4 linked regions of the Caenorhabditis elegans genome follow. The protein of the gene in region 3 purifies or fractionates together with the protein of the main gene of each other region. This does not show direct contact. Each region holds a gene or a part of one and is shown on either strand. Other genes may lie near its edges. The genes, in order: C35A5.4, str-207, dap-3 and catp-8.

Region 1 (7,228 bases), on a different chromosome or scaffold from region 3:
CTGTAAATTAAAAGAAATGCCCAAAAGACCACATGAGTTGGATTTGAATGAACTAAAAGCCAGTGTTGAATCGGATCAATTTAAAACTACCCGTGAGCTTGCAAGCACGTTTGGGGAAACATTATATATTTATAGCAGATGTCTTGAAATTGCTCGACATGAGGAAAATACTTGGTCGATTCGTACCTCATTATTTTACCCGTTCTATCCTTGAACGCTGAGTTGATGTTTCATTTAATCTCCTCACTCTCCACGGCGGTGACCGTTGGTTGGGCCGTCTTATTACTGGAAAGAAAAGTAGGTGTTGTACGCTCTCGAATCACCAGTGAATGTGCGATGAATGCGCGACGACCTACGAGCGCAGCAACGTTACATTTTGTTTCTCTCCTAAACTTGTCGTATGTTCCTCGTATATTGGTCGTGTCTCCTTTTTACACTCACAGTTTTGTCGTACATTCCGGACTTCCTCCTAAATGTACGAGGAAACTGCGAAGAATGTACGATGCGAATTGCCGAGATTGTTCTGTTTTTTCATTATTTATTTTTCATTTCAGCCATCGCTGAGTATCTTGGAATTAAAGCTTTATTACCTTCACTTTCAATGACACATCATACACAAATGAGCAGATGGATTGGGGAGCCATCGTCACCAACTGTTTTGCCAAGTAAGGAATTATTCTGAGAAGTAAGAATTATTTTATTTCAGGTATGATTTCCTCATTTGGGGATGACATGAATTTTTGGGAACGTCTTGGAAACACACTGGGAGATGTTTTTTTCACACTGTTTGTTGACATGCCTCGAATGACTTCATTCAGTGATCCAGAAAGAAAAATTGACTTCTATGTAAGTTATACAGCAACTTTTAATTATGTTAAACCTTTGAATGAGATGGTAATACCACAAAAAATCAAGTTTTCAGGAAATGTCAGTCCGCGCACCTTTCATGTTTATGAATTCCAATCCATATCTTGATTATGCTCGACCAATTCTCACTAAAACTGTTTTAATTGGAGGAATATCTGTTAATGTTACTCAATTGAAGCAGAAAAAACTAAATGAGAAATATGATAAAATTATCAGTGAGAGACAGCAAAATATTCTTATTTCATTTGGCTCTATGATTTTCTCGAAAGACATGCCTGATGTATATAAGTGAGTTTTTCTTAATGAAAACTGAGTCGAAAGTTGTATATTATTTTACAGAAATACACTTGTCCAAGTTATCAAATCATTTCCAAATGTTACATTTATCTGGAAATATGAAGAAGATGACGTCAGTTTTGCTAAGCACTTGCCAAATCTTCATTTCTCAAAATGGGTTCCACAAACTGCGCTGTTAGGTTAGTTTTTTTTTCTGATCCCCAACACAACTTGATTGATTGAATTTTAGCTGATTCCCGTCTTTCTGCATTTGTTACACATGCTGGATTAGGAAGTGTGACAGAATTAAGTTACATGGGAAAACCAGCAGTTTTAATTCCTCTTTTTGCTGATCAATTGAGAAATTCAAAAACGTTGTCCAGGCACAATGGATCAATAACTTTGAGCAAATATGATTTGAGCAGTTTTGAAAAGTTAAGATTCGCAATAAACACCATTTTAAACGATGAAAGGTGTGTTTGTGAAAAATATAATTTAATATTTTTTTCACAATTCAGGTATAAAATAAATGCTGAAATTCTCTCACAACAACTTCAAGATCAACCTGTTTCCCCACATGCTCTACTTGTGAAGCATGCTGAATTTGGAGCAAAATACGGAGAGCTGCCAAACCTTGATCCATGCTCTCGTCAGATGTCTTTTATTTCATTCTATATGCTTGATATTATAGTTTTTGTTGGTTTCATATTAATCACAACCACCATCGGGATCGTATTGACAGTAAAATGGATTTTAAAATTCTGTTTCAAGCAAAAACAGAAAATTCAATAATGTTTTATTTGATTTATGTTATTTTTTTGTACGGGTTTAGAATGAACCCTTAAAATAAAATTGGCATAAAATAGTTGATTTTAGATAGCCTAATTTCTCACGAGACATTCCTTCTTAACGGCGCGCGGTTTTACCCAGATGGGTACAATTTATAAATACATTTTTAATGAAAGCAAGTTCATTTGTGCTAGTTTTTAAACAACTTTTAACAGGAAAATGAAAATAAAAAGATGATATTCGCTGAAAACAAAGTGATATATAACAAAAAAGACTACCGTATGTACATTGTTTTGCCCGCCGATACCCATTGAAATAAATCCGTTTTTAAGATGGCATCCCAAAATCTTGTGAAATTACTGTGTATTATACGGTCTCCTAGTCCTACTGCCATTTTTAGATGGTTTTTCGACTTCAATCGAATTATTTATTTAGTAATTCACAAATAAAAACGAGAGAGTGTTGCAAAAAAGAGACGCAGAGACGTTTTAAGTTTTCACGTTTTTTTTTTAATTTTAGAAGACCGTCCTATTATGCCCAGTCATTTTTTTCGATTTTAATTTTTCGCGTGACGATATGGAATTCTACATATCTGAGTGATTTGGAATTTTTTAGAAATTATATTTGTGGCATATTTATTCAATAAAGTATCAGTCATTCCTCAACACTTCCCTGATACAAAATGGCGACTTATTCAAAATCAGGAAAGAAAAAAAAAGTGGCCGAACCTGCTGTTCAGAAGATAAGGAAAAGTCGTGAAGAAGATAAAGCCACACCGTGCTACCTATCAAATGATGGATTCTTGTGGACAGACAATAACCCAGATTTGAAGTTGATCGAGCCACGAATTTTGGTCTCCACCAATTATAACTATTTGGAGTTTTCTAGAAAGGTTTGTGTATGGAATAAATAACACAATCAACTTAAATTTCTTTGGGAAAATCAGCCTAGAATCAAATTTTCAGGCGGATCGTCCACCCGAGCGTCGTGTACTAACACTTATCAATCATGGAGATCATCCAGTTGCATTCGAAGTACAAACTACAGACAATTACTCGTATTTTATTGATGTTGTGCATGGAATCATACCGCCACGTCAGACATCTGTTAACGCTGCTATTCGAATGCCCAATTCTGTTTGTATTCAGGTATATTTTGGTTAAAACTATGGCATCGGTAAAATGTTTTTACGTAATGAAAAATGAAGGTCGTCATCAAATCCTATCAAGAACAAATCTCATAGGTAGCAATACAAATTCTGAATTACCTGCTCAATTTTTATGTCACGTTCTATTAATTTGAGTTTTTCTTACAAATATAAAAATGTTTCAAACTACAAGTATGTTTTCTGGAAAACAAAATTGCGAATTAATGTTAAAACATTAACAAATCTATCGTAAAAACTGTGCGCCTTATAGTATAATTTTCAGGTTTATCACAGACCATATAATGCATATTCGGCAGAAAGACAGAGTGATTTTTTCAATCGGTATGTTTTAAATATTCAGGCAATGTTGAATATATTATTTCAGTCCACGGAAAGATAAGATGTCGATTTTACTGGCTCCTCAAATTTGCCAGACTTTTTCTCCTGAAGCAATTTTCCACAACGAAAGAAGTTATGAGAAATTGCGAATTATGCTGAAGTATACCGGAATTGAAGAAAAGTCAGGAGATGGTAGACGTGCGTTTTGTTTTCTTGAAACCGATAAAGTTTCTCAACAACTGTAGAAACAGTGTAAAAATTGTGTTGATTTGCAAATTTCAACACTATTTTCTATTAATTTTTGAAATATAATAGAGCATTTCACGTAATTGTAGTACGACTTAGTCTTCCACGCGGCTGTTTATTTACAAAAAACGACTCCAAGACGTATGCTAACTGTTATGATTTAAAAAAAAAAAAAGCGTGGATACAACTGTAACTTTAATTTTCCAACATCATTTCAGCCAAGCAGTTTATTTTACACGGAGTTCCTGGGTCGGCCACATGGAAAGATGACAGTGGTATAAGAAAAACGAAGAATGAGCAACAAATGTTGGAGTTTAAGAAAATCGAAAAGACAATCATCCAGGTTTGCTTGTTTTTTCCGATCATTTTTATACACACTTTTTTTTGCAGAATGCCTCAAAAGAAGTATGCGAAGAAATGTCGAAGAAGCCCATAATACGCCGTCCATCGCCACTACGTGCTCGTTCCAAAACTCCAGGATCCAAGGATAACAAAAATCAGCGTGATAAGCGTGAAGGTGGAGTAATGAAGATGTTTCGAAATCTCAATCCATTTGATAGAACTCCGACTCCGACTACAAAGAAGACACAATCGGTTACGGTAAGTTTAACACTTGAAGACGAAGCACAACCTCCTACACAAATTGCATTTTTCAGCCCAGTAATAGTACTCCGTCTCCAGCAAAGCCAGCCACTCCAACAAAAACGCCAACACCGACTAAGAAGCCTGTAGAAAATGTATCACAATTTTACAATATATTTTCAAATTACCATTTTTCAGAATGAGACCCTATCTCAAGTCAAGACAGTTTCCAAGGCACTGTCTCATTCTCCCAAGTCACCAAAGAAGGTTTGGTTTTCAAAATTGCCAGTTTTTCCAAAATTCAAATTTGATAACATTTTCAGAACAGTCAGGAAAAGTCGGCTCCACCATCACCGAAGTTACCACCGAAAACTACAGCACCAACGCCAACAAAAGACGGTGGCAATCATTCTCCAAAAACGGTGAGTTTATTTTCAAGGAACTGATCATTTAAAAATTCAATATTCAGACTAACAAGGCATTAGAGCCGCCGCCGAGCCCAAATCGTACACATTCGCCAAGTGCATACCAACCCGTAAGATATTTGATTACAAATGTGTATGGAATCTTATTTTCAGGCGATGTCTCCGAAACCTACTGGAAAGTAACTCTGTGGATATTCAATAGTGAACAGAAATGTTTGATAATTATTCTTTTTTTTTGTTTCGTATTTATAAAATGAACAGGGACAGTACATTTGAAAATTCACACAGTGAGGTCTTTATAAAGTATATGTGTTTCTCATACAGGAACGTACATACATGCTTCGTCAACATTTCAGGTCTTCAACTGGAACCTCAGTATATGTGGCTTTTTCTGGTTCTGTCCAAGATGCTGGCTGGTCCGTGAATATAAAAACTGATATTGCGTTTGCCTGGGTAATAATTTGATTTAAATTTGAATTTCAACATTGAACTCACAATAAACATAGAAACTCCCAAACTAACAAAAACTGGAATCCATTCCTCTCTATTCGATTCTGTTTCTACAAAGAATGCAACCACAGCAGGAGCTGAGAACAGTGCAAGGCATTTAGTGAATTGAATTGCAGCAATTACAACATGAGCATGCTGTCTGAAAACATGCATCTTAACTAAAAATTTATGTTTATCAAACCTCGCGTGAAGAGCTGCACATTTATAAAATCCTCCAACATTAACAGCAACAAACATCATAACCATCACAATGCAAATAAAACTTTTCCAATTTTCTTCTGATGGAATAAATCTGAAAACAAGAGGATCGAAAATTGAAAATTACATTAGACTTACCCAACTAGTGCAAGTGTAAGACCAGATACTCCGACGGAAATAGTGTTAAAAATTATAATTTTCCATTTTTCAGAGACAAACCTGAAAATAAACTTTTTTTATTAAACACTTTTGAGTGACAGTTTCAAAAAGCATTTTTTAAATGTTCATTAAACCATGGCTGGTAAGCCGGCGTCCGGTTTTTCAAGCGCCATTTTTAACATTTTCATTTTATGTTCCAGATTTTTCAAACTTCCAAAAGGTAGAGAAATTTGACGCCGGATCGTCTAGCATCTGGAAAACTGGACGCCGGACGTCTGGCTTGCCACTTCTAATTAAAACTAAAAACTTACGTAATTCTGTCGCTGAATGCGGCCGATACCAGTCTTAGTGGAATATTGAAACCTAAAATAACAGCTACGTAAAAACCGGTTTCTTGTACCGAGTATTTAAGAACTTGATGGAGATATATCGGCATGTAAGTGGCAAAAAATATAACGGCAGTCATTTCAAAAAAAGCATTCAGCCACACAATAAGTATCACAGGACTTTTGATAATTTTCTGAAGGTTTTGAAATTAAAATGATTTCAATTAATAAACTCTAACCCAATAAGGAATATCTCCATTCTTGTCTAAATGAGCTGCAGATTTATTCTTATGAATTCTTCCCAGCTCTTTTCCAGATATTCGTTTTGAATCTTGCGGATCGTCAATATATATCCATGCCCAAAGTGCAAAAAGCAAAAGTCCTGCAAAGGCATGAAAATAATAGGAATATTGCCAACCAAATGAGCTTTCACAAATGAGTCCAGTTGCTGAATTAGTGATCATTGAAGCTACACCAGTGAAGCATGTAAGAAGAGCAATGAAAAATGCAGTTTCTTTCAATGGAGCCCATCTCACTGTCATTATCCCAATTGCAGCAAAATCAGTAGAATAAGCTAGTCCCTAAAATGTTTTGAAATTTCTCAACTAAAGTGTGAAAAAATATCTCGAACCTGCAAAACTCTTAGAAACAGAAATAGAGTAAGACTTGTTTTTGCAGCAATAGGAATCAAGGCTGTGGAGAAAAGTGAAACCAATCCAGCTACCAAGAATGGCCATTTTGCTCCATATTTCACCACAACCCAATTAGTTGGAATGGTTCCAAATATTGTACCAGCACCAACAGCCCACATTATGTACTTTTTTTCATCGCTCGTATAGTCATAAATGCTTCTCATTGTCTGAAATGGTGTTGTACTAAATGAATAAAATCAATTAATAAAAACTTACCCCATTAACCAAATGCATTTCCGAATTATCTTCTTTCATGCAAATAAATGTAAAATTTATAATAATATAGTTGGAGCATACTGATGCAAGACATAAAAACCCGACAATCAATATAAGGTACCGATAATAATTACCCCAAAGGTGCGTTTTCATCTGAAAAAAAATTATATTTTTACTGAAAATTAGCGCGGGCATCAAATTAACACAACCGGTATCAGTTAGAAATGAAAACAGATTTTTAAAAGAAATTGATGATATAAATATAGATGTGTGATCACTGAACTTCCACGAGAGTCCATCAAAGTAAAAGTAGAAAATAACAGTAGCCAGGCAAAACTTTGCTTGTTTGATTTATAATTTTATGAAATGTTTATTGTGAGCGACTATCTATTGTTGAAATAAAACATTGAAGGAACTATTGAACTATGCATTTTCATTTAAATTTGAGTCTTGCAT
Region 2 (6,308 bases), on a different chromosome or scaffold from region 3:
AAAAATCCCGGAAATTGTCTGGAAACTCTAGAAAAATTACGCAAAAATTCACAATATTCCGAAATTGAACCATAACCACAAACAAGTAATAAGGCTAATCGAGCAAACTGTAACAGTAAAATATCAAACCAACTGGTAACCAAGTTGATTTATTGACAAATCGAAATAGGGTGCAATTTTTCAAATTCCGCTAGAAAATAATTGAAAAATCAAAAGAACATCCAAGTGGCGCGATGCATTACAAAAATGTTATCAAATCTTCTTCGAAATTTTAAAATTTAAGAAAAGGTGTAATGAGACAATTATCAATTTTGTTATTTTCCGTATTTAATACAACAAGTAACGAAAACCGGCAATATCTGGTTGTATGCTCCCATACCTTTGCATAACAAAGAAGTTCGCCAAAAAAGACACAATATCGGTCAATGACTTGTTGGTGATTAATGCAGATCATCAGAGAAAATGTACAGTTTTTTGTGCATTGATGATAAAATTTCAAAATTTGGAAACAAATGTTACGATGCTGAACACATTTTTGGAATACCATCCAGTCGAGCATGATTCTAGTGATATTATTGTGGTAGCTATTTAGTTTCTAGATTTCGAGATATTCTCGACAATGACTTGGGAGGCAGAAACATTGTTGTTATTCGGAAAATGCAGACAACGTGACACTAATTCCCAGTCAGCCATATATTAGGTCTCCAAATAAGTTCCTGGTCAAAATGGAAAAATGTGTTCGCTGCGTATCGATTTTTATGAACCTGTGGGAATTTATGTTATCAACCATAATCTTTCATTTGACAACAGTCACAAATTTTTTTGCTCACTCGGAACCCATTTTTTTCAGGCATTTTTCGATTTCGTTTCTTTTCAGCGTTGAGTTGTGGTTTGTGTTCGGATTTTGCTTAATTTAGTACACAATGCGAGAATACAAAAATTTTGTTTTATTTCGTTCAAAAAAAAATTTGTTGATCGTCAAAAAATCTTTAAAAACATTTTTGACAAAAATTCTTTATTTTTCATACAAAAATAATGTAACCAACTGCAAACTATTTTAAAACATACAAAACATTTCAATTTAGTACGTCACACTCAAATGATAATAAAATCGTAAACTTTTGAGGTTTTGAGTATTTCTCAAGAATACAATTTCAAACTCAAATGTTTGCTATGTGTAAAAATGGTTAACACATGGATTACACATCATTTTTGTATAAAAATTGAAATAATTGGCACTTTTTGACTGTTTAAAAAATTGTTTCAAAAGTTTATGAAAAATTTTACTCATATTTGGTCCTTTTGGCACCACTGGAGTGATTTTCAATATTTTCCCCACTGGTGCTACTCTGCCATTAAGTTAACGCTTTTACATTTAACTTCTTCGAAATATTTTACCAAATTGTTTTTATGAACGAGATATTATTGAAAAAATGCATATCTGGGATGGAAAATTATTTTTTAAAGGCAAATACATAAATATATACTTCACGCTACACTCTTAGTCGGCTGAGATCTAAATCCTTGAACTTCTCAAACCAGTTGTTTACTCTGAATTTAAATTCTAACACCCATTAATGTTATTATCAATTTAATTTAATGTTTATCAATGTTTATTGTTTATTGATTCGAAAAAAATAGGACACCAAAACTTTTATTCATTTTCACAATCTTGTAACTTTTGAAAGCTCTGTCACATTTGCAGGTACATCGGGAGTTTGAAACATTTTAGAAACTGCACTCAAGAATACACGAAGATAGGATCGAAGTGAATTTCTATAGCATTTCACCATAATCAATGTTGGAAGTGGGTCAACCGCAGGAAACAGGGCAATTGTCACAGTGACAATCCCAGTAAAAGAGCCTACGTCAATTGTTAAAAATGACAATAAAAACATCGCGCATCCTGGAATGTACATAAGAAATAATGGAATCAAAGTTTGTGCAATCAATGAGTAGAATAATTGTTTTTGAAGCCCACGAGTGTTTTGAGAAACATTTTGTTTGCAGATCTTTTGAAGTGATATATAGCATCTGAAGCCAAAGTAAAATACAGTTATTAATGAAACTATCTGTAAATAGGATGATGATAAAAATGAACCAACTTATTTAACTTACTGTTATAAGAATATTCACAATAATTGCAATGAATGATGGATAGTAGATATCTGTGATTCCATCGGAATTGGTTTCGTAGAAGTACGGTGCAATATATAGGTTTTTGTCAATATCTAGATTGAAGACATTCATTATTTCGTTTCTAAAATAGTTTGAAAAAATTATCCAGTGCAACATGTTGTCGTGACTTGGGTTTGTCAGTTAGATAATCTTGCAAAAATTATTTTCCTAACAATGTCCTTCTATGAAGCTTAATGTTTACCTCAAATATTCATCGGCACTCGGCCTTGGGGAACACGGAAAGTATGTTACAAACCACCAAATAGCTCCACACAACACTGGAACTAATGCCCACCACAAAATTCTAAATCCATTGAACTTCTCGAGCCATATGTTACCGCTAATTGCCCAGTACCTATAAGTGAACTGGATACAAAACATTGCCAATAGCGAACCGACAAATGCATTGTAAAATGCTGAAAATGCATAATCTATGAACGATCACGGTAAGGAAACTTACAAACAAGCACCATAAGCACATTCCGATCTAGATAGCATTTTTCTACATTTATAACCATTGCAAATGCTGATCCAAAAGAATGAAACATCTTAAATTTTTATTTTCATTTCATCGAGTTTTTCGGAACTACCACACTTACTGGTTGCACTAGTAACTCCAGAACAGAATAATTAATCTCAAAAAGAGAAGTGAGAATTATCAAATTTTTGTATGCGCGCATTTGTTGAGGTGACTTATTCACCACCAGAGAAATTGTTAGCGAATTGAGCAACAATCCAATTACAGATCCAATCAGCTGGTAATTTTGAAATAACTTCCAGTCGAGCATGATCTTAGTGATATTATTGCGGTGATATTATGATTTTTTTAGTTTTCAAGATATTCTCCAATGACTTTGGAGACAGAAACAATGTTGTTATTCTGAAAATGCAGACAACGTTATACCAGTCACCCATATTAATGAGACGGATTGATGATAGAAGTATCAACAACAAAAGTCGCGGTCAATACAAAAATAATGTATACGTAATTAGATTTTAAGCATGGATGCACGGCTTCTGAGAAATTTTCAGTAATATGCAATCACCGATTGCTGTAAATTTAGGCAGTTTTCATATGAACCATTCATGTAATTCGCCAATTAAGTATTCCGCAAGTCATTTTATATGAAAATAAATATTTCAAGGTTTGAGACACGTTCAGCTTAAAAAGTGAAAACTTTGCCACTATCAGAATTTTTGGAAATTCTCTAAATTGTCGAATAGCATTTGTTGCGCGCATATTTTTATATACTACTAATGGCAATTTTTTGAATCAATGATTTTCAAAGATTTATTGAAAAATAAAGTAACACATGATAAATGAAATAATGTGTTGGATATGTGACAAAATGATACAGTGAAAAGAATTTCAGACAGTTTTTGGGCAAGACATTTCAATTGCATTGCTTGACTGCGTAATCGAAAGATTTCCACCTTTAAGAATATTTATTACTTATTAAAAACTCAAAAATTCTTAAAAAATTTCGATCAAACACATTAAATTGCTCTCGTCTGAGTCATTGCTATAGAGTTATCTTGAGAAGGTTGAAGCATCTTGGTAATAGTTTTGAAAAACAAGTAAATGTAGAATTGGATTGCTGTCCGATAACTCTTCACCATAATCAATGTTGGAAGTGGATCAATTGCGGGAAAGATTGCCAGTGTAACTGTTACAATTCCGCTTAGTGAACCAACATCGATTTCCAAAAATGTGAAACAGTACATGGCAGCAACCGGAAAGTGCATCAAAAACAATGGAATAACTGTTTGAATAACTAATGAGTAGAATAACTGATTTTGAAGTTTTTGAGTATTCTGAGAAACGAGTGCCCCTTGTTCACGTAGTGATGAGTAACATTTGATGCCAAAATAAAACACGGTTATAACAGAGATATTCTTAAACAAAAATTAATTATTTGTTAGATTATAACTACAAGCACATACAACTAAAACAGTCGTAAGAATGATGGAAATGAAGGATGGATAATATATATCTGTAGTTCCATCTGTGTTTACCTCATAAAAATACGGAGCGGCATACAAGTTTTCTTCGATCGACAAATTGAATTCTTTCATTACACTATCTCTGAAATTCGAAATATTACCAAAAACTGTACAAGTTCTAGATAAAAAAGTTCACCTTAAATATTCATCAGTACTTGGCCGCTTAGCACATGGAAAATAAGCAACAAGCCACCAAATAAGACCACAAAAAATTGAAGGCAAAGTCCAAAGAAATATTCTAAGCCCTTCAAATTCTTTCAGATGTTTGTTTCCACTAACTGCCCAGTATCGATAAATAAACTGAACGCTGAAAATCACTAAAAAGGAGCCAAAAAATGCACAGTACATAGCTAAAAATATGAAAAATTATTTGTAGATAAATAAAAACCTTTTATTACCAAGTAGAACTTTAAGTACACCGTATTCAAGAAAAGAGTCTTCAACATTGACTATCAATGCGAATGTAAATCCGAACGAATGAATAACCTGAAGGAGAACATTTTGAAATCACTTCGAATACAGCTAGATATATTCAGTAATGTTCAAAGTTTTGAGGGTTTCCGGGTTCATTTCATCCGACACACTGCAACTTTTTTCGAACGAGGGTTGAGAAAAAATGCGAAAAATCGGTGTTTGCACACAATACACCGCATTTTACGACATTTTCTACTTGCTTTGTTTTCTTGTGTTTTTCACCGATTTTTCCCGTGTTTTCTTATTAAAACTGATAAATACATATTTTTTGTTAATGCTAAAATAATTTCCAGATGAAAAAATTGTGAATTCAGCCGGCAAGTAGCGGTGAAAGTGGTCAATGTAATATGATGGATTACGGGAATACAAAACCCAAACTTTTCCCCAAACATGATACATATGATGTTTAGATGCCAAAAGTACCTGATTTTCATAACGAGACCGCTGAAAAAGTTTTGAGATTTTCAAAATTCAACTTTTTTGGTAAAAAAGTCGAGATTTTGGCACAAAATGTTGAATTTTGAAAATCTAAAAACTTTTTTAGCTGTCTCGTTATGAAAATCAGGTACTTTCAGCATCTTAAAAGCATATATATCATGTTTCAGAAAAAGTTTGGGTTTTGTATAGCCGTAATCCATCATATTACATTGCCCACTTTCACTGCTACTTGCCGACTGAATTCACAATTTTTGCACTTGGAAATTGTATTAGCATCTGCAAAAAATATTTATTTATTTGTTTTGATAAGAAAAAACGGAAAAAATCGGTGACAAATGAAAGAAAACACGCAGAAAACAAAGCAAGATAAATGGCCGCTGAAATTTGTCGGGGACTCGGCCATGGCCTAGAAACCTTTTTGCCTCGTCCCTCGTTCGAAAAAAGTTGCAGTGCGACAAAGACAATTTAATAAAACTTACTGGTCGAACTGTCACTTCCAACACTGCATAGAAGCATTCAGAAATGGCTACAAGAATAATCAAGTTCTTGTATGTACCCAATTCTTTGTGCGATTTTTCGGTTATCAGAAAAATAAGCAGCAAGTTGTGCAAAAGAGCAAAAATAACTCCGAAAATTTGAGCACGCTTTTGAAAGTTTTGCCAAGCCGACATTTATCCGATAAATATCGATATTTGAAAAAAAAAACTGTAAACAACATTATTTCCGTGTTTTTCTTGTTATTAATTGTAATAACAGCTTGATGGCGACATAACAAGAAAACGATGATCACAAGAGATTTTAAATATTTAGTCTTGTGATTTCGTTATGCAATAACAAAAAAAACTTGAAGTAAATCATGTACTAAAACTGTACTAATACTAAAACGTTTCCAGAAAATTTTTTATATAATTTTTTATTTGCCGTCAAAAAGTGCCAATTACTCAGTTTTTGCCACTTATAATTTTGGAAGTCGACCAAAAAAAAAAGTTTTTCTACATTTTTTATATTTAAGCCTACTTTTTAATTGTTTGTATGAAAACATTGTAGGGGTCGAAACATGCGACATTGCTTTGGATTCTTTCAATAGCTCATATTTTTCAAAATTTTGGCAATTTTCTAAAACGTTGACCGGAAATTTAGAAAAAAAAATTAAAATTTTTTTTCGAATGGCATTCAGTTGTGTGATCTAAAAATTTTTGTTAGAGCATTTTTAC
Region 3 (6,390 bases):
TTCAATTTTCCATTGTTGATAAAATTCAAAAGATCCTGAATTTCATCTCGGAATCGAGCATTCTGCTTCGCAAAATCCTTTACAATCTTCTCATCAGAATCTCCCTGAGCAATTGTAACTCTCCAATCGGGACGAACAGCCTTCTGAAGTCTCACAAGATTTGCACAGTCGGATAATCTTCCAAGTCCACCAAAATAGTTCAAAAGCTTCTGAATGTTATCGTTCAGTGCCAAATAAAAAGTGAATGGTCCAAAGTGACGAGTTGAGGTTACGACATGGAATTTACCAGATTCATTGATACGATCAAATACGAGTTGACTCAAACGAACATAGGCCGGATCGTCAGGCTCGTAAAACCAGCAAGCCCAGTCTAGAACGAATTCGTGATCATTCTTATCAAGAGCATTTTGTAGATTTGGATCCGAGAAGAGTGGTGGAGGATTCACAGAACGATTCGGTTTTTGATAATAAGTTCTGTTCATTCGATCATGTTCTTCTGGATTCGCAGTTCTCAATGTACCATCGGGTTCTCTCACGACTACAGTACGATCCTGGTCGGTCGCATCGAAAGTGATATCAGTGAATACGAATTTGCTAGTGTCAAAATCCTTCAATTCGAGATCTTTGGCGAGGATCTGAACACTCTCCTCGCGAGGTTCTTTCACTGGAACAAATTGTAGGAATCTGCGAGCTTCTTCACGCATACGCTCTCGAGTCTGGAAAAAAATAAGTCAAATTGAATAAATAGCTTCTCATTTTGGTGAGTAGTTTCTAGTCTAGCAGATCCAAGTTTATCAGAAACTCGACTGTAAATCGACAAATGCGGTAAATTATAAATCATTTTCAAACAAACCTTTTCAAGTCGTTCTTCAGTCATAAGAGCGAAATGAGATCTTTGTTGAATCGAAGTTCTTCGCGGTCTGAACACTTTGTGCTCCAAATCAATTTCTGTTAAATCCGTCAGTAGCTTTTGCACTTCCTTCTCAACGAAGAGTTTCTCAACATTGATGTCGTCTGGTGTTTTAGAGTTACTGAAAATGAATCATATTAAATATATATTTTACAAAATTTAAAATTCAAATACCTTGCTTTGATCCATTGCGATGCAGATCGAACCTCGGCTGAAAGCCGGGTTAATGCCGAAACTCGAGGTTTCAGCTGGAGCATGGAGATCTGGATCTGGAAATTGATGAATAAAAATAGAATAAGATACAGAGAATAAATATGAAATCCCGATCAGAACAGGAACAACGAACAACAAAAACAATGGCCAGTTGTATAATAAAAACATTATTTTTCATTCTCTATTCATAACAAATAAAACTAGAGACCTAAAAATTAAAAAAAAACAGAAACACTCAACAAAAAACGTAAATTATAATGATTTAAATCAGTTGAACGCACAAAGCCTCTCGTAATAATATGGATTGAATGCGCTGAGATGCATAAGTTGTTTCCTTCCTTCCTCGCTACGAGCTGCAAACAATTTGGAAATTGCAATATAATGGGATTGGCGGTCTCTCACCTGCTTTTGATGCTAACCAGTTCTTGTTCACATAGTAATTATAGATTGCATCTGTTTCGGCTTCCGTATAATTTGACGTTTCAATTGGAACGAATGGCTGAAAAATTAGTTTTCAAGATAATATATATGCTTTCAATTTTACCTCAACATATTCAAATCCTTCTTCTCCAAACAATTCCAATGGAGTGTGCCTGGAGACTCCGAGATGATCCCTGGCGTCTGCAACCTCTTTCTTATCTGCAACCATCAGAACACATCCATTAGTCCAATCATTTTCGATCATTCGCCGGTAATGTACAACAAGAGTAAGATCCGAAGGTGGTGCATAGGTTCTATCAGCTCGTTTCACCAAAGTTTTTCCCCACAGAGAATTCGCATCATCAATCGCCACTAGAACCTTCAGTTTGTCATCTTTTGCGTGGCGTCGGAGCTCTCGGAAGATTGCACCAACACAATCACTGGCAAGGAACGGAGCAGAGATTCCCATTTCAATAATTTCAGTGATAGGTTTTCCTTTCAACGTTCGTTCACTTTTCGACCATTCATAATCTCTTTCAGTGAGCAACTCTCCGAGAATCTTCCAGATATGTTGGTTTTGTTGCTTGAAATTTTGGAGAATAGAAACAGAATTCGATGGATCATTGATACGGCCTTGTACAAAAGATGACATCTCAATTTCTTTTACTCTTCTTGTCAGCTCCATTGCACTTCTTAGATGAACAATTGCCCATTTATTATTATAAGCATGATGAACAGCTTGATTGAGAGTAACCGACTTTCCGGTTCCGAAAGCTCCCCATAACACGAGGCGAAGAGCTGGAAGACTTTTATCCACAACTCGCATACAGCTTGCTACTTCTGCCATTGGTTCTCGGATCTGAAAATATATTTATTGAATATAATATTCCATTGATTATCGCCGACTAACCAAGGTAACAACTTCTCCCAACGTATCCATCTGTTTAGAAAGTGGAGCTGGCAGATGATTTCTCATATTAAGCTGTTTGGCAACTGGCATCTCAATTTCGGAAAGAGTTCCAACATCTGCTAACTGGGAATTGGATCGTCTCGAAATATGCAGCTGGCGAGCCGGAAGTCGGCGAGCGATCTGGCACATTAGGTTTCCACACGGCTTCATTCTGTAAAACTTGTCTGAAGTTCCGGGAGAAATCTGGTAAAAGTAGATAAATTTCGACAAAACGTAAATTGAATTAGAAACTGGATCACAAACTAGGTGAAATTTTTAATTAAAACTGGAAAACAAAACAATGAACAAGAACAGGAGGAAATCAACAAAAAATTATTAAACGTGAGCGTATTGTAGATCATCACTGTTTTCATATTCAGCCATATCCAAGGCAACTTCGCAGCTTTCTCGAACAACACGCTCCTCATCATTGACGTATTGCTTCAAAATCTCCGTACATTCTTCGTTGGCAATTGCTCCAAGAGCTTCAGCACATTCGTGACGGACCATGCAATTTTCAGTTGACAGTAGAAGACGATCCTTCAATTCTTGAGTGGCAACAGGCGACTGAAGTTGTCCTAAAACGTATGCGACTTCGTGACGGAACAAAGCACTATCTTCACAGTAGAGACCTTGAGCAAGAGCTTTGATGGATTTATCTGTCTTAATGTTTCTTAGACTGAACATCGCACGATATCTGTCGAAAAGTGGAAGTGAAGCGTCGATCAGAGTGGCTGCGAGCTCTTCGACGTCGGATGTTGAAGCTGATGGTGTTGGATCTACAAATTAAACTTTTATAAGCAAAATATGTTTAATTGAATCGCTTACCAACGCTATCATAAGGGCTGTTGGTATCCTTTCCACTTTTTTCAACCCATTCCACCCTTCCTAATGCAATTTGGCATGTCTCGGAAACTTCTGGACACGGATCTTGTGCATATTTTCGGAGGACATCTTTGACTGAAGGATCAGCAATTGCTCCCAACGCTTCACCGGCTTCATGGCGGACCATTGGCTCTTGCTTCTCGTCCTCAAGAACACTCACAAGTGTTGGAATGGCGTGCTTGTTCTGCATTTGACCCAAGCAGTAAGCCAACTCATGCTTCAGAAGTGCTGATTCGTCATTCAGACATTTTCCAATCCAGTCAACAGAACGATCACATCCAATATTCCGGAGAATAAATAGAGCTCGGAAACGAGCTTTCAGAGGTTTCCTGAAAATTTTCATTTATTAATTGGAAAAAAATCTACAAGATTACTTTGTGTCGTTTAATGCCTCTCCAAAGCTGTCGATTTCGGCATCAGAGAACTTTTGCGAAGCGACCATCTTTCCCGTTGTTCGAGTTGAATCTAAAATTTTATTCATTAATTTTCAAATAACATTGTCAACAAGGAGAGAGAAAGAGAATAATACGAACGGAACAAAATAAAAATGAGAGTGTAAGATCAGAAATGAGGAGAGCAAAAAAGGTGAAACAGTTAAAATGAGGAAAAATTAGAGAAACATTTCTCTACCAATCAGCGAGTTGAAGTTGATCGGTTGGCCAGTCTTCGTATGATCCATCTGGAAGGTAGCGGCGGACAATGATCGGGATACGGCGTTGTTTAAGCTCCTTGCGAGCAATCTCCAATGGATCGGTCTCTCCTTCAAGTTCAACCATAACCGGAGCTCCCATGGCGATTTGGAGAGCGCGAGTGCCAAGAACTCGAGCTCGTTCGTATTTTGTCATGAATGGAGTTGTCACATGCTCACTAGTCGGAACAGCCTTTCCTTGATCGAAAAGCTCGAAATTCTCGTCCACGTTGTCATCGTCCTCGTCCTCATTGTCAGGGCGTTGTGGATCTTCTTCGATCACGTCCTCCATTTCGTTGTCGTCAACGAAATCATCATTATCCATATCTTGATAATCGTCCTCATCGGCCATTCTGAGTCTGCAAAATTGAATTTACTAGTTATTTCTTAACATTTATAAGAAAAAACCGATAATCAAATGAAATACAAGAGTGATACAAATATAAATAGGAAAATCAATACAGAACCAGGCCTAAAGATATTTCTACACGGATGATTCAACATTAGATTATTGTAACAGTGAAAAATTATCAATTTGTTAAATATTAAAACTTTTAAAGATATTTTCAATTTATTCCATTCAGGAAAAGCAAAAAAGCAAAAGAAAGAAAATTGGTTCTACGAAATTGTTCAGGTGGATTTACGTTAAACAAGACGCAAGGCGTAACGGTGGAACGTCGTTGTGAGAGGCAATTTGAATTCTAGTGAAGGTCTCACAGCGAAAGTCACCTACAGTAACCCAGAATTTTAGGATTACCTGTCGCGAAGAAGGAGAATATACATATTCATCCTATCACGACTTTTTATAGTAAGGGGTTCAAAAGCAAATGAACACAGAAATGAAGAAGTAAAATGGTAACGGAAATGGTCGGGTCTTGCTTAGTATCACGAGCTGATAATAAGCCATTTTTGAAGGGGCCGGGAGTGTCGCGAATACGCAGAATACTGATATTCCGCCGATCACGACTTAAGAAATGATATTAATACCCAGGAAATGCGTCAAGGAAATATTAAAGAATTATTATGATTATTACGAAGTCTTTCCGTATTCTAAATGCTCACGACAATCCACGGAAGTCATCAACAACGACAAAGCCGGGAAACTCCTGTTTGAAAGCCGCGCCAAAAGACACACACGTCACGAGTGTTACAGTACTACCACACATGCACATCAAACCCCAACACGTCGACACCGCGCAAGGAAATCGTCACTTCTTCGTTTTACTCTCGGACCGGCAGGTCGCATGTTAAATATATGAGCTTTATCATTTTTATCATTCAACGGATTTATTAGTAATAAATTATGTAATTCTACCACTTTTGAACCTATACCGATACGAAACATTACCGCGATTTTCAATTTCGTATTTTCTTTTCCCCTTTTTCGCGGAATTTGTCGTTTTCGATGCTCGTTTTGTGTGTTATTTTTATATTTTTGTTTCAAATATTAATGTCGCACCTCCTTGATATATCAACGCATTTTTTTCTATACTTCCTACACTACTTTTAATTATCAATTTACAGGACAAAATCGAAAGATGCCAGCCCTTCCATCAGTCTACACGCCTTCTGGAGCTCCATCGAGCGTCCACGCACCACCTGCCGTTCCACCAGTTCCAGTTCCAACTCAACCGCTAAGATCGGAGTATCAGACGTCTAACGACGCTTGCATCAAGAGACTGGAAGAGCTCAATGTACGTTTAATCGGTTTCATAACCTTCTAATTTGTTAAATTTCAGATCGCTCCAGCTGCAAAGCTGTATCCAGCACCGACTGAACCAGGAAAATGTGGCGTTGAGGCCGAAATACAAACCAACGTATTCGGAATCGAGATGCACCAGGACTCGTTGTTCTATCAGTACAGCGTTCACATCACGACGGAACTGAAAAACGGGAATGAAGTTACTTTCACCAAGAAGGGAAAGGATGAGTAAGCTACCGCATTATTTAAACCTTGCTCATAATATGTTTCAGTTTCGTCGTTACTGAGAGACGAAAAGTGCTGTGCGATTCTGTTTCGCGCTCTTGGCGATTATGAGGAGTTCTTCAGAACGTCTGATAGCTGTCTCATTTACGATGGTCAAAGCATTCTGTTCTCCAACGTGGATCTTTTCCAAGGGTTCAGAGAAGGCGCAGTAAAGGTAAATACAATAAATCTTGATCAATGTTATTCATAATATTTCAGACCAAGTACATGCAGCTTGATGGAGGAGAGATTGATCATAAGGATCTCAAATCGTTGCCGTGTATCAAGCTGGAGGTGTTCCCCACTAAAAATCCAGCGGTCAAGTTCACACGAGAAGACGTAGCAAGACGAGCTTCTGA
Region 4 (10,446 bases), on a different chromosome or scaffold from region 3:
AAAGTAATTCAAAAGTCGATAATGGGACTTTTCATTGGATTACTGTACCTTCAGGTATTTCTAATATAAGTATTCTTCAAACTCGTACTCTTCAGAGCCCACTTACCTCAATCGGAATTTCAAACTTGAACGGAGCTCTATTTTATCTCGTTTGTGAACTCACCTACTCTACAATTTTCGGAATTTTGAACTTTTTGCCAGCCGACTTTCCATTAGTCTCCAGAGAATATCACGATGGTCTTTATTCTGTTTTCTCATATTATGTGGCTCGATGTCTCTCATATCTTCCACTATTTACTGCCGATGGACTTATTATGCTTCTTGTATCATATTGGATGGTCGGATTCTCGAGTTCTATTACACAGGTAATTTTTGAAGGAAAAAAAGTCAAAACTTGAAGTTCAGAGATGTCATATTTTCCTTTCATAATATTGAGAATACTGTATTATGGGGACCCAGAAAAATGCGTTTTTAATTGGCGGCAAAACAATACAAAACACTTTCGAATCCATGGATTTGCCGCCAAATACCTAATGGGACCAAACTTCGAAATACGCATTATTCTGCGTCTCCATAATATTTTTGAAAAATTGGAATTCCAGGTTCTATACGCATGCCTCATCGCCTTCCTCATTGAGCAATCTTCTTCAGCTTGTGGAATCATGATTTCTTGCATTTCGCCGTCTTTACCGGTTTGTAAAAAACTTCAATTAACTTCATAAATCATAGAATTTTCAGATCGCAATGTCAACTGCTGGCCCAATGCTCACACTTCTATCATTGACTGGAGGTCTTTACGCTAATGTTGGTGCACTACCATCATACATCTCGTGGATACAGTATCTCTCGTGGTTCAGATATGGATTTGAGGCTTTTGCAATCAATCAGTGGAGCAGTGTCAATGAACAGAATACAACTATTTGGACTGATGAGGTTAGAAACAGTTTGAAATGCTGTTAATTTTAATTTAATTTTTCAGAAACGTGATTCCGTACTCTCCCAATTGTCATTCCGCGCTGAAATGTTTTATCCGGATCTCTTCATCATGTCTGCATTCATTTTGATCTTCTACACTATTGGTTACGCTGGATTAGCTTTGCGAGTCAGCAAAGCTCGATAGAAACAATTTCTGATGTAAATTTTATACTCGTTACAAATTTGTTGAATGTTTGAATGATGATGATAATTTTATTACTAAAAAAAGACTCAAATAAATACATTGTAAATGAATCTGCAAGATTTCAACAGAAATGTATATATCACAGAAACATTATGCTCTGAAACAGCGACAATGAAATGACTATTTCTGATCTTAGATCATGCGATAGCTTTGGTTCTAAGTGAAGATAAAACCGAAAAAATAAATTAAACAACAGGATGGCAGAAAAAAGATGTTGATAGGGAATGTCAAGGAAGAAGGATAATAAGAAAAACGAGTAATTTAGAACATATCTCCCAGCAGGAAATTCAGACCACGATCGATGATATAACAGATAACAAGATCCGCTGTGACACACATTAGCAACGCATTTCGTAGCTGAAATGAGAGAAGTATGAATAAGGAACACTATTTATAGGATAAAACTTACAGCTTCTGGTAGAACAACTAGTTCAAATTGAATCATGAGATCCGTAGCTTGTCCACTGGCAAGAGTGAAAACTGCTCCTCCTGAGAACATAATACTGTAAAGCATGGCCTTATTCTCGAATAAAGATTCCATGAACGGTCGTCCTCTGTAGTTGACAGCAAATGTGCAAACTTGAAGAGCCATTGAAATTATATAAACCGTAGTGTTCAAAATATTTGGCGTGAATTTTGCTTCCAAATCGACAGGAGCTTTTCTGAAAAAAAAAGTTGAATATTCAAAATTGTGCACGAAGATGGTGTGCACCCGGTGGCAAATCCATCCAGAAGCGACCTTAGATCTTCGCAGGACTATTTCGGCGGGGATGTCGGCCCAAATCACGTACAAACATGACCTGGTTCCTATCCGCCATAAACTCTACAGCGCGGGCACGAACCAGCGACTAACGGGCGACAAGCGCACACGTTAACCATTCGACCACACGGCAATGCCGCCGGAGAGATACAACTCGCGTTTATAAAGAATATGGTTTAGGGCTGGACAGCAAAATACAATTTTCTGCACATTTTCAGGTTTTCTTTAAAACTTACTCTGTATTGGCTTCATGTGCGAGTCCGACAATGTAAAGGAGACAAGAGAAGTGTACAATAAACTGAAGAGTGACAGTCAGAAGAGTATAGGCATTGAAAATATTCGCCATTGGTCGTTGACGAGATAATGTTTTCAGAGGCTGGAATTTTAACATAAAAATTAACAATAAGCTAGATAAAAAACCTTTGATTTTGAAATGAACAAGAAGCATGCTGCAAGAAGAAGTCCTTGAATAGTTGCCTGGGTATCACTGAATTTAACGCCATCCAGATAAAGTGCAGAAAGTGAATAAGCAGAAACAAGAGCATTGAGAGCGAGAATTTTGAACATTTGAAGAGTTGTAACAAGAGTACAACGACCTTGTTTGATGACGTGACAAACTGAAAAAAAATTGAGAAGTGAATGATATTATACAGAGGCACAACATTTTGCACTAAAAGTAATAAATACGGTACCCGGTCTCGATACGACAAATTTTTGGCAAATGTAAAAACGTGTGCGCCTTTGAGGAGTACTGTAGTTTTAAACATTTTTTGCTGCGGAGTTTTCATAGTTTTTCGTTAAAAAATTATTCATTAAAAAACTCTACAACAACAAGAGTTTTGAATCTACAGTACTTTTTAAAGGCGCGCGCCCGTTTGTATTTTAAAAGTTGTCATGTCGAGACCATAGGTTCTGTAGTTTTAGCGCAAAAATCTGGGTAAAATTGTTTGAAAAACTCACTGGATGCAATCGATGTATATTTACTGGTGAATGGCGCAGCAATTGAGGCATCACCCAACTTGATCACTTGAGCTTTTTCCTCTTCTTCCAACTCTTTCATTAGATTATCTAGTCGGGCTTGAGCAGCATTAGCCATTGGTGGTAGGGGAGCTCTCGCGCGGGCTCCAGGAGGAGCATCACGACGAGCTGCGTTAGCCGCTGGAGGTGCTCCTGGGGCACCTGGTCGTTGTGGTAATTGAGCTCCTGAGCGAACGAGTGAACGAGCTTCTTCGATTTTTGCTTTTTTCTCTTTTTCTTTTTCAGCGGCCTTCTCTGCATCATAAGGGTTTGTTAGAAGAGCAACTCCAACGTTAGCATGCTTCAAAGCTCCGACATCATTTGTACCATCTCCACACATAAGAGTAACTTTTCCTAATGATTTTAACTCGTTGATAATTCGTTCTTTTTGTTTTGGAGCCATTCTTGCGAATACTTTAACATGTAGAATAAGCTCTCGTAGGAAAGTGTGCTCATTGTGCACCAAGTGATGGAAAGCTGAACCGGTCAGACAGAATTCGTGAGAATTGAAGAACGCTTTTCTCTCCATTTTATTTTTTGTTTCTGGTTTCAACGGCAATTCGATAGTTCCATCAACAGATTTCCACATCCAGTCAACTCCATCGGCAGGTTCATCAAGAACTAAAGTCGGCAATGACTTTTTGGTGAATTTAAGAACTTTTGATACATGACAAGCTGTTAATGGGTTATCTCCAGTAATCATTGCAACTACATGAGAACTATCCATAATTTCACGAATCATTGTTTTAGTATCACTCTTCAGTGGGCACGATATGACGACAAATCCAGCAAATGCGAGATCATTTTCGAAATTCTCTCGTTTCTTATCGCGAAGTTCTCCAACTCGAGTTTCTCCAAGTTTACGTATTCCCATAGCAAGAACACGAGATCCTTGACGAGTCAGACGAGTATACGTTTCGTCGTAATCAGATGGAAGGTCGGCGTACTGTAAATAGAAATTTAGAAAATGACTATTACGCAGATGTGAAAGTTTTCTATAAATCTATACTAAATGCAAATTAGTACGCGCCTTTAAACTGTAATTTAAAACGCATTGCTTTGGAATTTTCATCGATTTTAATAGTTTTCTAATAAAAATGATAATAACTAAAATAAAGCTATAAAAACAGATAAATTTGAACAAAATTTGAGAAATAATCGATACAAATTCAACAACGATGATTTTTTTTTAAAAATCGAACATTTTCGTTCTTCGTTCTGTTGACTTTCCAAAAATAGCTTACCATCTTGGTTATTTTTCTTATTTTATGAAACAAATTGTGTTTTCTCATGTTTTTTTCTCATTTTTCGTCAACATAAATAAAAATAGGATAAAAATTGAATTGTATGGATAATTTTCTCCGGAAAATCGAAAAAATATAAATTGTTCGTTTTTTATTATTAAGAATTAAAAAACCAAAATTTTTGATTTTCTGTTTCTCCAATTTTTCGATAACAAACATTCGATTTTTCAAAAATTAGCTCAAAATTTTGGCCATTTTTCATTTTTTTTTTAATGAGAAAATTATATGTTTCTTATGGTTTTCTGGAAAATCAAAAATGTTGGCTTTCCATTTTATGATAAGTCAGACAATTTTTTTTTTGAGACAAAGATTTGTCCTGTCGAGACAAAATATAAAATTCTTACCATATTTCTGAGCACTTCTGGAGCACCTTTGACAGCTACAATGAATGTCGTATCAGAAGTTCCAGGTGATTGATATCCAGCAACAACTGTCATTCTCTTCATTGCCGATGAAAAGTGATAACGATGGAAGATTTTAATTCCAGAAATACCCTTGGCTGCTGTTTTAGGCGGCATTACAGCATCTCCTTTTGTTAAATTCCAACCACACCATGAAAGACATGCTTTTTCCAATGGATCTCCAACGAGATCTTCTTCGAATCGAACGAGACTGTGACAAGATGCTAGAACTTGAAGACTTTCATGTGGAAGATCTTCTGCGTTTCGGATCATTCCTTCTTTTTGATTATTCAATGCAACTCCTTCAACAACCAAATTGTCAGTTGTCAATGTTCCTGTTTTGTCAAAACAACAGATATCGACTTTTCCGGCAAATGGAATTCGGAATGGTTCTGTACAAAAAATTCCCAATTTTTGAAGAGCCATCAATGATGAGTTGACAGCAAGTGATAATTCGATTGGAAGCTCCGGTGGGATAACAGAAGTGAGAATAAGTGTACATTCAAGGAACAATTTGTATTTACTCCGAGTCTCGTCAACTGATCCTTTGATCCAAAGATATGCAGCAGCGGCAATTGCGAAAATAAGAAGGAAAAGAATGAAACAGAAGGTTTCCAAATTGTTAGCAGTTGCTTTCTTGACTCCGAACATGATAGTACGGAGGAGTTTTCCTTGAGAAGTGTTGAATCCAGTTCGAATTACATAACAGATGCAGTTTCCATCCGGTGATTTTACCTGCAAATTATTTAGCTGAGAATATGCCTTTTTCTCATTTTCTTAACGATGGAGTACAGAAATTTGGTCACAGGCTTCATTAGGTTCAAAATGGCCTGGTTCAAAGATTTGATGAAAAAAAATTACTTCCAGCGAAAATCTCAAATTTTGTGTACAAGTCGCGGAAGGAAGTATTTTGGCAATTTATCACGCGTTGTTTCGTTGATTGAAATGCCTTTTTAGTCAACAGAGTGATAATTTTTAAAAAATTAATTTGCGACGCTGAAAAATTGAAAAAAAATATATCAGATTTAACTGAAAATAAGTTTTTTTCTCAAAAATTTGAACCGCCATAACTTTTTAAAAGAAATTTTCACAATGTATGATCACGAAAGTCGGTATTTTTAACCAATTTGGGAATAATATATCTAATGTCCAAAAATTAAAGAAATATAAAATACATTTTTGGTGACTCTAAAAACGTTGTATTTTCAAAATCTTACCATTCCCTCTGCAGCTTTTCCTGGTGCTGTGTGCTGAACAATCTTGGTTCCTCCGAAGATAACGTGTAATCTGCTGTCTGTTTCAATATCAAAGATCTTATCTTTTTCAACATCCTCAATTGGTTCTTTCATTTGTGGAACACTTTCTCCAGTTAACATCGATTCATCAACGATACAGGGTCCACGTAGAAGCAGAAGATCACATGGAACACATTCTTCTTCAGCACCTCTTCCAATTGAAACGATATCTCCGGCCACTAACTCTTCAATCTTGATTTTTTGCCATTTCTTGCCACGGAGCACGTTAATCATATACGTTTTATTTCCCATATTCCGGATTTCAGACATATTCTTCATTTGCTGTTTGACGAGTGTTGCTTCGAATGTCATAAGCATGAAAAGTGTAAAAAGTGAATAATACCACATATCTTCCAGACACCACAATCCAACACAGAACACTTGAAAGACGAAGAATGGAGCTGTAGCTCTTTCAATGAACATTTCCAAGAATTGTGGAACAATCATTTCAGTTTTGTTGTCTCCGAGAAGATATTTAGCATCTTTAACATGCTCTTCAACTTCGAATCCGTGTGATTTTTGAAAGAAAACCATTGGTTTCGCAGTATCAAGAGTTTTCGTCTGAAATTCTCTGCTCTCTTCATCCCAAGTATAGTGAACTCTTTGAAATTCGAACCATAACTTTGTTTGTTTATCACGCTGAAATAATTCATTTGAAGAAAATGTTTCTAAATAGTTGTGACTAACCGTTGTTCTCATAAGTTTAACTAATTCCGGCCATCCGTTATTTTGTGTAGGGATAACACACACATGAGAAGCAATACGAACATCTTCTTGCTTTGAACACATGAGGAAACATCGAACAGGCATCATCCAATGACAGAAAAGAAGAACTAGTGCAAGAATCACAAAAATTGCTGCATATCCCAACATTCCAAGTTCATAATATTCTTCATAGCCGAAAATATTGAGCCAGACATATGTCCAGATTGCAGTGATTACTGAAAGATTATATTTATTTTTAAAAATTCCATCTCATTAACTTATTCTTTGACTCACTTGTAAAAGGAGGAACATATAAATGAGTTGCTATAGACCTTAAATTGTATGGTATAATAGTCTCGACTAGTTGGTCGACACCCATCTTTCCGGGCTACAGGACCCTGCAAAATCGATTTTTGTATTTAGAAACAATGCGAATTTGAATTAAAGTATAATTGTAAACGATATGGAAACGTTGGGAGAGTTGAATCATGTCACAGTCATGGATTTAAAATGATACGTTTATTTCAGATTCTCCTGCGTCGTTTCTGTACAGAAAGAAAATAAATTTAGCATAAATACAAAAATATAACAAAAAGAGCAATAATGTTGAACAAAAACCATGATAAGGTACGGGTAAGAGAGGCCAGACGGAAAGAGATACCCAAGAAAACAGGAGACGCGGGGATCGGTAAGAGAATTTCGGGGCTGGAGAATGAGAGAAATAGACGGGAAAGTGGGGACACCAGGAGTTGGACCTATTCGATGTAACATTATTAGTTCATCACTTCTTCGCTGGTGGCTTTGTTGAAAATGGCATTCCGATATCTTTGCCGCGCAACTTGACTCCAAGCGCACGCTCCATTTTTGCCATGATCTGTTGATTTGGGACAGCCTTTCCGCTTTCGTATTCGCCGACTACTTGCGGCTTCTCATTAATTTGCTGAAATAAAATGTTCAATTAAAGATCTCATTTTAAAATTAACTAACCGTTGAAAGATCTTTCTGCGTCCAACCTTTCGTGGCACGAGCCTGCTGCATGACTTTTCCGAGGGACAGAGCAACTTTCTGGTGATGAAGCTCCTCCGTTTCTTCATCAAGCCGCAGAGTGTTCTTGTTGGCGCTGTGCTGGCGATTGCCACCAGACATCGTCTTCTTTTCGGTCGAAATATCAACTCCAGCACGCTGAGCAGCATTCAATTGAGCAGCCGATTTCAATGTCTTGTTCACTGGTCCTCGCTTCGTAATCATTGTGACCGAGTTTGGATCAGTGTCAGAGGTTGGGCAGCCATACTTGGACATTTTGATAAGATGGAAGTTTGTTGGAGACTTGTTCTGAAAGGAAGTTATTGTATTTATAGTATGTCAGAAACGATGAAATATTGCACAATATGATCCCGGAGGAAGCAAATAAATTAATGTTCAACGATATTTTCAGTTTTTTTTTAAATTCTGACACTAATAACAATGAAACGATTTCATTCTTACTAGTGGCAGAATATATAATCATGGACTACGAAAAAACGTTTTATTTGTGCCATTTCAAAAAACATTTAAAACTTGACAGACGGAAGGAAGAACTCTTTTCAATCGACGATTGAACACGTAATTGCTCTCTGTATGAACAATTGTCATAAAAATTATTCAAATTTCAAGAAAAAAGAAAACACTCAGAAAATACGTAAAATTTCAGTCCAAAAACAAAAAGAGAATCGTTTATTTTTCGAGAAAGTTCCACGGAGCCATGAGGTTTGTGTGCAAACACTGTGACGCGCAATTGCGGAGCGAATTTCAAAATCATGTTTTTTTGTTTGCAATTTGTTTGTATTTTGCAACATTTTCACTCTCTTGAACCCTTCTCCTTGATATTTTTCTATTCAGAACGTTTTTAAAGCTTTATCAAATTACATTCTCAGGAGTAATCGTAAATAATCTACTCATGAAAACCAGAAAACTCTATTCCAATATAGCAATAAAATCAAGTGTTGTTTTCAGGGATAAAATGGATGGTATCGATCCTCGCCGCATGAGTTCAAAGATGGTTGCGGACAATTTATGTAGACAGCCGGTTAGCAAAGATGATGCGATCTGAAAAAGTAACATTATTTCAGGTTACAGCGGACAAAATCGAGCAACTTCGGAACCGAGAGGAGAAAAGTGCAACGGTGCAATGCAGAGAGAATCATGCCGTTGCCGAAGAGCTAAAGAAACAGATAAGCGAGCTCGCCCATATTCGGAAATCTGAAACTGTCGATTCTAAAATTAAAAAACTGGAATCTGCTGTTACGAGTTTGAGAGAACAATCGAAACCGCTAAAAGTAGGTCATAACTTTTGAAAACCTCTAGTAATTGTATTTTTTGTTCAGAAAGCTCTAAACACCGCTCTCTATTCAACGGACACTGAATTACTAGAACTTGTCGGTCAAACGACGCGTGAGACTCTTCTCGAAATAAATGGAGGTGCTGTAATTGACCCGGTTGATGCTGGAAATAAAATTGGAGATGCTCTGAAACAAATCGAGACTTCTGTGAAAGCTCATACAGTGGATAAAAGTAACTGGTGCGATGAATGGATTGTCGATGATAATATGGATGAGATCAATGAAATGTACGACGATATGTACAAAGACGCCCGACTCTGTAAGGAAACTAAATTTTTAGTTCAAATTGATTTAAAATTAAACATAACTTTATATGTTTGCTTCAGCGGAAAACCATAGATTTGCTTCACGCCTTGCCCTATTCCACCGTCTGACTCCTGAGCTGGTTTTTGCGAGCAGCTCGAAAAAAGACGATGATGGTCCTCCTCATTATAAAAAATTCATTCAGCCTGCAGTTTATCCATTTAATATTGGTTGCGATTTCATGTTCGTTGGAATGTTTCTGTAATTTATATTTTTATTTTTATTTCAGTGTCCAACTAGTTGATGTTGAACGTGTTGAGAAACAGAAAAAGATCCGCGAGAAGGTTGAGAGAGGTGCGAAGAGAAAAGAACCCGCAGCACTTGTCAAAGTAAGCGATAAGGCGAGAAACGTTCAAAGTGAAGAGGTTTCAATCTCAAAAGAGCTTCAACATGTTCTGAAAGTTCTGAAAAAAGAGCTTAAAACTCGGAAGACGGATCAAATCGACTATTACGAACTCATCACAAATCCGACTAGTTTCTCTAGAACGGTAAGCTCATTTTTGGTTAAATAACTATTTTACGGGACATTTTCCAGGTTGAAAATATGTTCTACGTCTCGTATTTGATGCGCGATCGTGAAGTTTACCTGCTAGAAGAAAACGGTGTTCCAATTCTGAGTACTGTTTTTATATTTAATTGTCTGTAAATATTTAATTTCTTTCAGAAAAACCTACCGCTGTGAATGATCAAGAAAAATTGCAAAATGATGAACGCAACTCTACCCACGGACTTACTCCTTTGAGCTTTGAGCAATGGAAAACGCTCTCTCAAAAATACAAAACCACCATTATTGAGCCACTCGATGGTTAATTTCAGTTTTAGAAATCAACCCCTTTGAATGCCCATATCATTTTCTATGTTTTAATGTCAAAACCGGTATAAAAATGAATCTTCGGAATGAGTTTTATTGAAATTGAAAATAATGTATTTCTGAACAGCGAATGCATTTTAGCACACCGAATTTACGACTGATTTTAGCTATGTACTGTTATAAATTTATCCATTGGATGCAATTTCCTGTTTCTTGAAATATTACTATTATTATTGAACCACTCAATGGTAAATCCCAGTTTTAAAAATCAAGCCAAAAGCCCATATCATTT

What was found.
Region 1: the proteins of dap-3 (region 3) and C35A5.4 fractionate together in Caenorhabditis elegans (co-fractionation; one large-scale study listed by BioGRID). This does not show direct contact.
Region 2: the proteins of dap-3 (region 3) and str-207 fractionate together in Caenorhabditis elegans (co-fractionation; one large-scale study listed by BioGRID). This does not show direct contact.
Region 4: the proteins of dap-3 (region 3) and catp-8 fractionate together in Caenorhabditis elegans (co-fractionation; one large-scale study listed by BioGRID). This does not show direct contact.

The regions. Positions count from the first base shown.
Region 1 is NC_003283.11:10,494,471-10,501,698, forward strand, and holds C35A5.4 (Major sperm protein), read left to right. Parts: upstream 1-2,562; 5' UTR 2,563-2,614; coding exon 2,615-2,824; intron 2,825-2,897; coding exon 2,898-3,080; intron 3,081-3,362; coding exon 3,363-3,421; intron 3,422-3,464; coding exon 3,465-3,616; intron 3,617-3,882; coding exon 3,883-4,007; intron 4,008-4,054; coding exon 4,055-4,264; intron 4,265-4,320; coding exon 4,321-4,401; intron 4,402-4,444; coding exon 4,445-4,513; intron 4,514-4,569; coding exon 4,570-4,668; intron 4,669-4,715; coding exon 4,716-4,781; intron 4,782-4,824; coding exon 4,825-4,854; 3' UTR 4,855-4,946; downstream 4,947-7,228. Other genes in the region: ugt-33 (glucuronosyltransferase), read left to right, coding at 555-665, 707-846, 923-1,155, 1,207-1,343, 1,394-1,616, 1,662-1,935; C35A5.3 (Major facilitator superfamily (MFS) profile domain-containing protein), read right to left, coding at 5,016-5,120, 5,167-5,320, 5,363-5,473, 5,518-5,598, 5,850-6,058, 6,104-6,445, 6,496-6,723, 6,773-6,925.
Region 2 is NC_003283.11:4,948,392-4,954,699, reverse strand, and holds str-207 (Seven TM Receptor), read right to left. Parts: upstream 2,967-6,308; coding exon 2,778-2,966; intron 2,727-2,777; coding exon 2,639-2,726; intron 2,595-2,638; coding exon 2,381-2,594; intron 2,261-2,380; coding exon 2,119-2,260; intron 2,073-2,118; coding exon 1,665-2,072; downstream 1-1,664. Other genes in the region: str-209 (Serpentine receptor class r-10), read right to left, coding at 3,676-4,074, 4,123-4,264, 4,319-4,532, 4,581-4,668, 5,574-5,765.
Region 3 is NC_003280.10:10,577,407-10,583,796, reverse strand, and holds dap-3 (Small ribosomal subunit protein mS29), read right to left. Parts: upstream 2,665-6,390; 5' UTR 2,664-2,664; coding exon 2,454-2,663; intron 2,403-2,453; coding exon 1,668-2,402; intron 1,623-1,667; coding exon 1,526-1,622; intron 1,477-1,525; coding exon 1,391-1,476; 3' UTR 1,278-1,390; downstream 1-1,277. Other genes in the region: mrps-22 (Mitochondrial Ribosomal Protein, Small), read right to left, coding at 1-716, 854-1,031, 1,085-1,167; dohh-1 (Deoxyhypusine hydroxylase), read right to left, coding at 2,829-3,271, 3,321-3,706, 3,752-3,819; rpb-6 (putative DNA-directed RNA polymerases I, II, and III subunit RPABC2), read right to left, coding at 4,004-4,417.
Region 4 is NC_003282.8:11,472,192-11,482,637, forward strand, and holds catp-8 (putative manganese-transporting ATPase catp-8), read right to left. Parts: upstream 7,061-10,446; 5' UTR 7,042-7,060; coding exon 6,957-7,041; intron 6,899-6,956; coding exon 6,645-6,898; intron 6,597-6,644; coding exon 5,880-6,596; intron 5,398-5,879; coding exon 4,606-5,397; intron 3,904-4,605; coding exon 2,901-3,903; intron 2,558-2,900; coding exon 2,361-2,557; intron 2,317-2,360; coding exon 2,177-2,316; intron 2,062-2,176; exon of another isoform or gene 1,843-2,061; coding exon 1,590-1,842; intron 1,538-1,589; coding exon 1,442-1,537; 3' UTR 1,172-1,441; downstream 1-1,171. Other genes in the region: wht-2 (ABC transporter domain-containing protein), read left to right, coding at 1-54, 96-365, 603-692, 739-933, 980-1,120; mbf-1 (HTH cro/C1-type domain-containing protein), read right to left, coding at 7,444-7,602, 7,650-7,961; nse-4 (Non-structural maintenance of chromosomes element 4), read left to right, coding at 8,662-8,727, 8,771-8,977, 9,026-9,299, 9,367-9,526, 9,573-9,831, 9,879-9,960, 10,008-10,153.